Callithrix jacchus: one gene and its partner. The protein of the gene in region 1 binds, or shares a complex with, the protein of each later gene. Links are inferred from orthologs where the notes say so. Each region holds a gene or a part of one and is shown on either strand. Other genes may lie near its edges.

Evidence for each region. Proteins that work in one complex are often made in the same cells at the same time.
Region 2: the proteins of WNK4 (region 1) and KLHL2 are in contact, whole or in part, in a crystal structure (PDB 4CHB), measured with the Homo sapiens proteins. The link is inferred for Callithrix jacchus from reciprocal best matches to the Homo sapiens genes WNK4 and KLHL2. Residues at the interface, in NP_115763.2 of Homo sapiens: Glu557, Pro558, Glu559, Glu560, Pro561, Glu562, Ala563, Asp564, Gln565; in NP_009177.3 of Homo sapiens: Arg345, Phe361, Gly363, Ser364, Leu365, Arg366, Thr392, Phe408, Gly410, Ser411, Thr412, Gly413, Ser438, Ser439, Tyr455, Ser487, His504, Arg534, Tyr583.

The regions. Positions count from the first base shown.
Region 1 is NC_133506.1:121,104,227-121,107,726, forward strand, and holds part of WNK4 (serine/threonine-protein kinase WNK4), read right to left. Parts: intron 3,086-3,500; coding exon 2,821-3,085; intron 2,595-2,820; coding exon 2,473-2,594; intron 2,241-2,472; coding exon 2,182-2,240; intron 2,081-2,181; coding exon 1,963-2,080; intron 1,689-1,962; coding exon 1,572-1,688; intron 1-1,571. UniProt on the Homo sapiens protein: Serine/threonine-protein kinase component of the WNK4-SPAK/OSR1 kinase cascade, which acts as a key regulator of ion transport in the distal nephron and blood pressure.
Region 2 is NC_133504.1:29,900,734-29,904,848, reverse strand, and holds the start of KLHL2 (kelch-like protein 2), read left to right. Parts: upstream 1-1,315; coding exon 1,316-1,341; coding exon of another isoform or gene 1,342-1,670; intron 1,671-4,115. Other genes in the region: uncharacterized protein LOC144581672, read right to left, coding at 837-1,670. UniProt on the Homo sapiens protein: Substrate-specific adapter of a BCR (BTB-CUL3-RBX1) E3 ubiquitin ligase complex that mediates the ubiquitination of target proteins, such as NPTXR, WNK1, WNK3 and WNK4, leading most often to their proteasomal degradation.

The sequences.
Region 1 (3,500 bases):
CGCCATTGTACTCCAGCCTGGGTAACAAGAGCAAAACTCCGCCTCAAAAAAAAAAAAAAAAAAAAACAAAACTTTCATTTCTAACTTCCTCTCTCCTTTGGTAGCCTACAAGTTGTCCTTGATATCCCTTCTCAACTTCCTATCATATCAACTCAGCAAATATTTATTGAGCATCTACTGTGTACTAGGTACTACTGTATTACGTCAATAAGCTACTGGATTACAGAGTAACTTATTTTCCTGAAACAACCCTCAGATTCACCCTTTCTCCTCTTCCCTCCCATAAGCCACCCTCTTCTTTGTCCACATGTGGCTTCCTGGGCCTAGCTCCCAGTTATTTTCCCTTCCTCTAACCCCCTTCCACATCCCATGGCAGATGGTCTTCACAAAGCCTACTGTCACCATGTTACACTCTGCCTTTTTTTTTTGATAGAAAGTCTCACTGTGTCTCCCAGGCTGGAGTGCAGTGGTGTGATCACAGCTCACTGCAGCCTTGACCTCTCAGGCTCAAATGATCCTCCCAACTCAGCCTCCCAAGTAGTTGGGGCTACAGGCATGTGCCACCACACATGGCTAATTTTTAAAATTTTTTGTAGAGATAGGGTCTCACTATGTTTCCCAGGGTGGTCTTAAACTCCTACTTCATCCTCCCAGAGTGCTGGGATTACAGGTGTGAGCCACTGGACCCAGCCCGCTTGGCCTAACACTTAACACTGTCTATCCTGTAATCTGGGCCCATGCTACCTACCCAGCTTCACTTCCCACAGTTCTCCTATAGGAATTTTTACTTCCAATGATAGTGGTTTCCTCCCAGCCCCATATTCCAAGTCATTCTCTACTTGGAATGCCTTTGTTTATGTTTTCCCTGCATAGGGATGCCCTTTACAGCCTTTCTACCCTTCATGGCCTTTCTCGCCCATCCACCAAGATCCTAGGTAAGCCCACTGCCCCTGCTGCCCAGCCCATCCTTCCCTACAGCCACAGTATTGCACGTCTACCAAGCACTTACACATAGCACTTGTGTGCACCTGGTCAATGTGAATCTCAAATTGCTCCAGCTGAGAAGCCAAACCTCACTGGATAAACAGAAATCTCCCAAAAACAAGGGCTGAGACGTCCTCAGTATCACTGTGTTAAGTGTCAACCAGTGCTTTAAAAACCCTTGCTGTCACTGGGCATGGTGGCTCATTCCTGTTATCCCAGCACTTTGGGAGGCTGAGGTGGGTGGATCATCTGAGGTCAGGAGTTCAATTCCAGCCTGACCAACATAGTGAAACCTCGTCTCTACTGAAAAATACAAAAATTAGCTGGATGTGGTGGTGGGCACCTGTAATCCCAGCTATTCGGGAGGCTGAGGGAGGAGAATCGCTAGAACCCAGGATGCAGAGATTGCAGTGAGCCAAGATTACACTATTGCACTCCAGCCTGTGGGACACAGAGACTCCATGTCAAAAAAAAAAAAAAAAAAAAAAACCCTTGCTCTCGGATCAGTGGGTTTCAGCCCCAGCAGACATCAGGAGGGAGACTCTTGTTCCAGATCCAAACACTGTCCTCATCTCTCTCCCCCTCACCATGGCAGCTGCGATCTCTTCTGGGCTGTCCCCATCCAGATCAAATCGGAAGGTCACCATCTTGCTGTTGTGGGTCTGTAGCTGGCACTCAACCACTCTGTCATTCTGGTCTGAGACCTTCAGATTCAAAGTCAGCAGAGGGGAGGAGGTCAAGCCCTCTGTCATCATGCTGTGTCTCCACCCTACCCCAGCCAAGTGAGAGTAGCCAGACTGGACCTGGAGATAAGTAGACCCAACCCCTAAAGTCTGGTATTAAAAACTAGATTGGCTGCCTCTTGAGTACCAGTCACAAACTGCTTCTCCCCTTCTATGGTTGACCTCCCCCACATCCTGCTGATACTTCCCTCCTGGCCCCGTAGGTTATTCTCCATCTCCCGTGCCCCTTTCTTACACTAGTGACCCGCAGCCGGGATCGGGGTCTGCGCCGGAGATTCCTCCCTGGGGGTCTCCTCGTTTGTCCCATCCCTTCTCCCACATCGCTAAGTCCTGATGCTGCATCTGAGGCATAGCTGGAAAAGGGAAAGGACATAGAATGAGTGTCAGAGAAGACACTGGGACCCCAGTGACCCATGTGTCTCATCCTGGCACCCCAATTTACCCTAGAACATACCTGTCCCCAGGGGAAAAGTCACTTCCAGGGCCAGAACGTGGAATGGATAGGGCAAAAGCCTGAAACAGGATGAGGGTTCATGAGGTCAGGAAGATAACTGTTGTGATCTAGGGAGATGTTGCCAAGGATGCTGGGAAGATATTAGGGAATTAGATGGAATTAAGGAAGAGGAGGACAGGAGTGGTGGATTCCTAGGGACAGCAGGCTGGATCATGAGATTGGGTTTCTCAAGGAGGGAAGTAGGTCATAGGCTTGGAATGGCTGGGAGCCCCCCATGTGACCCCCTCTCACCGAGGGCAGGCAGAGATGGGACTCAGCTGGGCTGGATGGCACCCCCGTAGGGGGCTGAAGGGCAGGGTCTGAGGCATCCAGGAAGCCGGAGGAGCTGAGGTAGCCATCAGTCTCGCAATCCGCTGGTGAGGGAGGGAGGGGATCAAAAAAAGCGGAAATAAAAGGTAATGGGAGAAGAAGGGGCCTGCAAGGGGGGCCTGGAGCTGTGGGAGAGTTCCTTCCAGGAGGGAGCTTCATGGCTACAGGTGGAAGGCAGGGTAAGTGACTGCTGCAGGGCGTGAATTTCTGGGTTGGGGGCAGAGGCCAAGGTGTTTTGGGACCTACGTCTCAAGATCAGGAGTGACTTACAGGTGGTAGATGAGTAGCTGGCATGGCGGAAAAGGAAGGGCTGGTGCTGGTCTGCCTCTGGCTCCTCAGGCTCAGCAGGGAAGACACTGTGGGGATGGGGAGCCATGGGCACAGTTGCTGGTGGAGGTCCTGGCTCCGGTGGGAGTGTCTCCAGTTCCCTAGCTTTACGCAGCTTCTCACGCTTTCGCTGGATGGCGGCAACCCGTTCTCGTACTGCACGGGCCACTGGCTGGTAATCAGCTTCACAGACCAAGCCCAGAGCCACCTGGAGTTGGGGTGGGGGTGAGAACACAGCTTGGGTTCCCCCCTCAATGATCCATCAGATCACTTCTTGGGACCTCCAGAATATGAGAGGAAGGAAACCAACACTTCCTGTTTACCCACTATGTCTGCTAACCGGCAGCTCCTTACATTATCATCACTAGATCCAACAACCTTGTGGGATAAATCTTACTATCCTATTTTAGAGATTAATGAAGTGGCCGGTTCATAGTCATATAGTAAGTCAGTGGCTTCCAATGGGGAGAAGAGACATTTGGCAATATCGAGACATTTTTAGTTGTCACAACTGGAGGGTAAGTGTTACTGAATCTAGTGAGTAGAAGCCAGGCTTTCTTTTCAACACCCTACAATGCACAGGACAGTCCCTAAAACAAAGATGTCAACAGTGCCAAGGCCAA
Region 2 (4,115 bases), on another chromosome or scaffold:
TCCCACCCTCGCGGCCCCAGCCAGCATCATCTGGAGAGCTTGTTAAAGCACAGGCTGCCGGGCCCCACCCCCAGAGTTTCTGGTTCAGTAGATCTAAAGTGGAACTGGAGAATTCATAGCTCTAACAAGTTCGCAGGTGCTACTGCTTCCAGCGGGCATACCTGGAGAACCACCAACTGCATTGTTCTCCCTCCCGTTCCTCAACAAGGCAGGCAGGATCTTGCTTAGCAGTCTCCACGCTGCTCTTCCCTTCGCCCTGGGCATTTTTGCATTATTCAAAGCCCACGTTATTCCATCTCTGTTTAACTCACACCTTTTGAGAGGCCTTCACTGACCACTCCTTCTAAAATCTCTTCCCCTCTCCTCATTCTCATGTTTCTTGTTGGCAAGCATCGCTTGTTTCTGTCATCCCGTCTAGATGGACAGCTCCACAGAGTCCTGGTTTTGCTGTCGCATCCCCAGCACTAAAACCTTGCCTAGCAGGTGCTCATTTCACTTGTTCAAGGAATGGATAGCATACTGGAGGGAGAGCCAGCTTCTTGCCTGGGACACTGGACAGGCAAATCATTTCTTCTCGCCTCAGTTCCACCATCTGTAAGGGCACCGGTTTGGTTATGCCTACCCTTCCCATCTCCCTGGGTATAGGCTCAAATGAAAAGAATAACGTGTACAGACGCCCGCGAAGCAGAGCAGTAGTGGATACCGAGCGTTATTACGCCGTGCGTTCGGCCGCCCTTTTTCTGCACGGAGAACCCCCTCCGCTCCCATTTTCCAGCGCCCCCGTCCCGGTGATCCACAGACCTGCTGTGGGCGGCCGCCGCCCGCGTCCCGGCCTGCTAGCCCGCGTCTGGGCACGCCCGCCCCGCTCCCGGCTGGCGCCCGCACGCCCGCCCGCCTCCAAAAGCAGAATCGGCAGCGGCAGCAGCAGGAGGAAGGGGAGGCGCCGAGGGAGGGGTCCTCGGCCGCCGCGGGAGGCCGCATAGCTGTCCCGTCACGGCGTCAGCGCCGGCCGCGGCCGAACCCGGAAGTTGCCGAGCCCGCGCGCCCGCCCGTCCCGCCGCCGCTGCCGCCGCCGCCGCCACCCGGCACTCGGGCGAGCGCGGGAGCCGCGCAGTAGACAGAGCGCGCCCGGCAGAGCGGGCCATGGCCGCGGGGACCGCCGCCGCAGGTGGTGGCGCGCGGTGAGGCGAGCGCGGCGCCCCCTCCGGGGCGGATGGAACGCGGCTTGGCGGGCGGGCAGTGCCGGCGTCCGCGGCTGGAATGGTGCTGGTGGCGGCGGTCGGTGCCTGCGTTCTGAAGCCAGAGAGGAGCCACAATGGAGACGCCGCCGCTGCCTCCCGCGTGAGTGAGCTGGCGGGCGGGCGGGCGGGCTGGCTGGCTGTGCCCCTGCGGATAAGCGCGCCGCTGCGGCGCGTGTCGCCGGCCGCGGGCGCAGCTTGGGGTACGGCCGCCCGGAGCCGCCGGGGCCGGCGGGAGGTGAGAGATGCGGGGCGTGACGAGGCGCGGTGCCGGCAGTCCTGAGCGGACGCGGACGGAAACTCAGCTTCGCCAGGCGGTGACTTAAAACGCTGCCCAGGATTTCTGGGGAAGGGTCTTCCCCATGCCAGGCGGATAGAAGATTCAGGGTGGGGCTGTGCATGGGGGACCCTGCCGGTCCTGTGTGTACCTCCCTGAAATGCATGGGCAGTTGGTGCCCAGCTTGCCCACCCCTTTCTAGGGGATCAAGCTAGGATGCACGGAGTCCGTTGAAAAAAGGAAACTGGAAAGTACCAGGCGCCGGCTGTCTAAATGAATTGATCTTAGGTTGTTTGGTTCCCCGAATTTCTAACAAAATTAATATCTGAGGAGCTTTTCCATCACTCTGAAATGAGCGGTGGCCGTTCAGGGCATGTGACCTCTTTTACCTGGCACGCAGAACGTTTTATCCAGAAATCAGAGCATCTTCTGTTTCCTTAGTACCTCAGGCAAATTAGTAGCCTATCGACCTGCCAGGCACAGGTGTCTTTTTTCTTTGGTACCCAAGTACATTCAAGATCACTAGCAACAGAATTATTTTCTAGAAACAATAGCTGAAACATGTAGAAGACGTTATTGCATTATTCAGAACAAGGTTTTTTTTTTTCTTTAATTTTAGTTTTTAGTTTTAAAAACATCTTGGTAAAAGTGGCCTGTAAATACCCAGGAGTTTTGAAAATTTCAATTTTGGTTCCCTCTTCTCTTAGGAAGGAATAAGAGTCCTTTGAATCTGACTTTTTAAACCGGAGACAAACCTAATCCTGAAAAATGGTGTACCTTTTCATGAGAGCTTATTCATGGAGGCTTGTCGTTCTCCGGTTAGATTTGGCAAGCTTCATTCACTCCATGGCAATTGTACCGCACCAGCCTCTTGTGGTTATTTGGCAGAATTCCAGCCAAAATAAGAATATTTGGCTTGGGTTGAATAATTTGTTGATGTTCAGCCCTTTTGGGAGAGCTAATGGGATTCTGGAATGACAATTTCTAAAGGTGTGTTTCAGAATGTTTAGCTTGAGTGGAACAGGTCATGGAAATGTAGGGGTAGATGATAAGACTCGTGGATTGGCCCTCTTCGGCTGACAGAAGCAAGGGCTTAGCCACCTCTCGATAGCTTTGACTTTGAGGGCTCTGAGATTTAGTCATGTTCTTCAGCAGGCTGGAAGGCACTTGAACTCCTAGGAAATATGATGGTGGATGGTTAACATCAGCAGGATGAACACATGGGGGTCTGCCCAGTCTCAGAAGCACTTGAGGCAGGATATGCTAGCTGTATTTAGACAACACATGGTATATAATATGTAACATGTAGGTATGTTATCTGTAGTAAACCTGCCTTCTATATATCAGTTCTTGCAGTTCCTTTTTACTTTTGGAACAGAGAACCAAAGGAAAGAACAAGGGGATCTTAGAATGCAGGTGAAAAGAAGGATGTGGAAAAGCAGGCAGGCTCTGGTGGAAGGGGATAGAGATACAGATTATTTAAATCGAAATAATAAGACATGAAATTGATGTATGCATGCAAACACTGATAAACTGACTCTAGGGTAGATCAGCTAATCGTAATTTTGATGACCAGCATCATTTTTTTGGTATTGAGATTCCATCAATAGTGCTGGAACAATGAGAGGCTGAGATATAATGGAAAACCTGTAATGCCAGCATGGATGAAGAATTGTTAAAACTCCTTTCAGTCATGGGTGGTTAAAGTTGGTGAGACTTTTCCACTGGTTCTATTTAATTATAAATACAAATGGGTTTTTATTTTCATTTGGTTCTATCCAGGATTGACGCTAATTCTAAAACTCATTATTTGCCTTTCTGTGGATCAGAATTCGTTTTTTTCCTTGCCACCCCTTGGCCTGTTTGCCTACACTCCCATTAACATCTCTCTACCATGGATCACGTGTGCTAGATTTGAGACATGCAGGCAGTGTCTTTAGGAAGGAACTTTACTGGGCCTCACTGCCAGAGCTGGCCTAGGACAGAGGCCAGTGGAAAACTGTTAGGAAGACTCAGCTTTTCATAGTTAGATTTTTAACCTGAGCTTTAAGGCAAAGAAAGATGTTTGACCTGGACTTAAAGTACCTTAGATGGTGTGGTTGGAAGCAGGGCCCCAGATTATGTTTGGGTTAAGTAAGTGTCTGTTTATTAATTCATTCAATCTGCAAATATTTGAATGCCTGTCTCTTCCTGACACTGTGTGTGGTGCTTTTGCTTATGCTTCTCTTTTAACATCAAGATTTACATTGCTCTCAGATCCCACCTCGTACTCCATTGGCCTGTTGGCACATTGTCTTGGAGGGATATCAGGCATCTGTACCCACCTTCCTGTTTCCTTCAGGATGGACTCCTTGGAATTAGCTTTTGATCTCTTGTGCTTTTTCTGTTCCTTGCCTCCAACTTCTTCTCATCCTTTTTAATTCTCATATAATTAAAAAGTGTCATTGGACTATATATTTCTGCTTATTGTTTTTTGCAACCTTGAGTCTATGTGACATTAAATTCTGTTGCATTTTGGGGTTTGGGTGATATTGAGACTGTGTTACATTTGCTTCTGCTCAAACCTTAAAGATGTGTAACTGAAAAATTAGATGTAGATT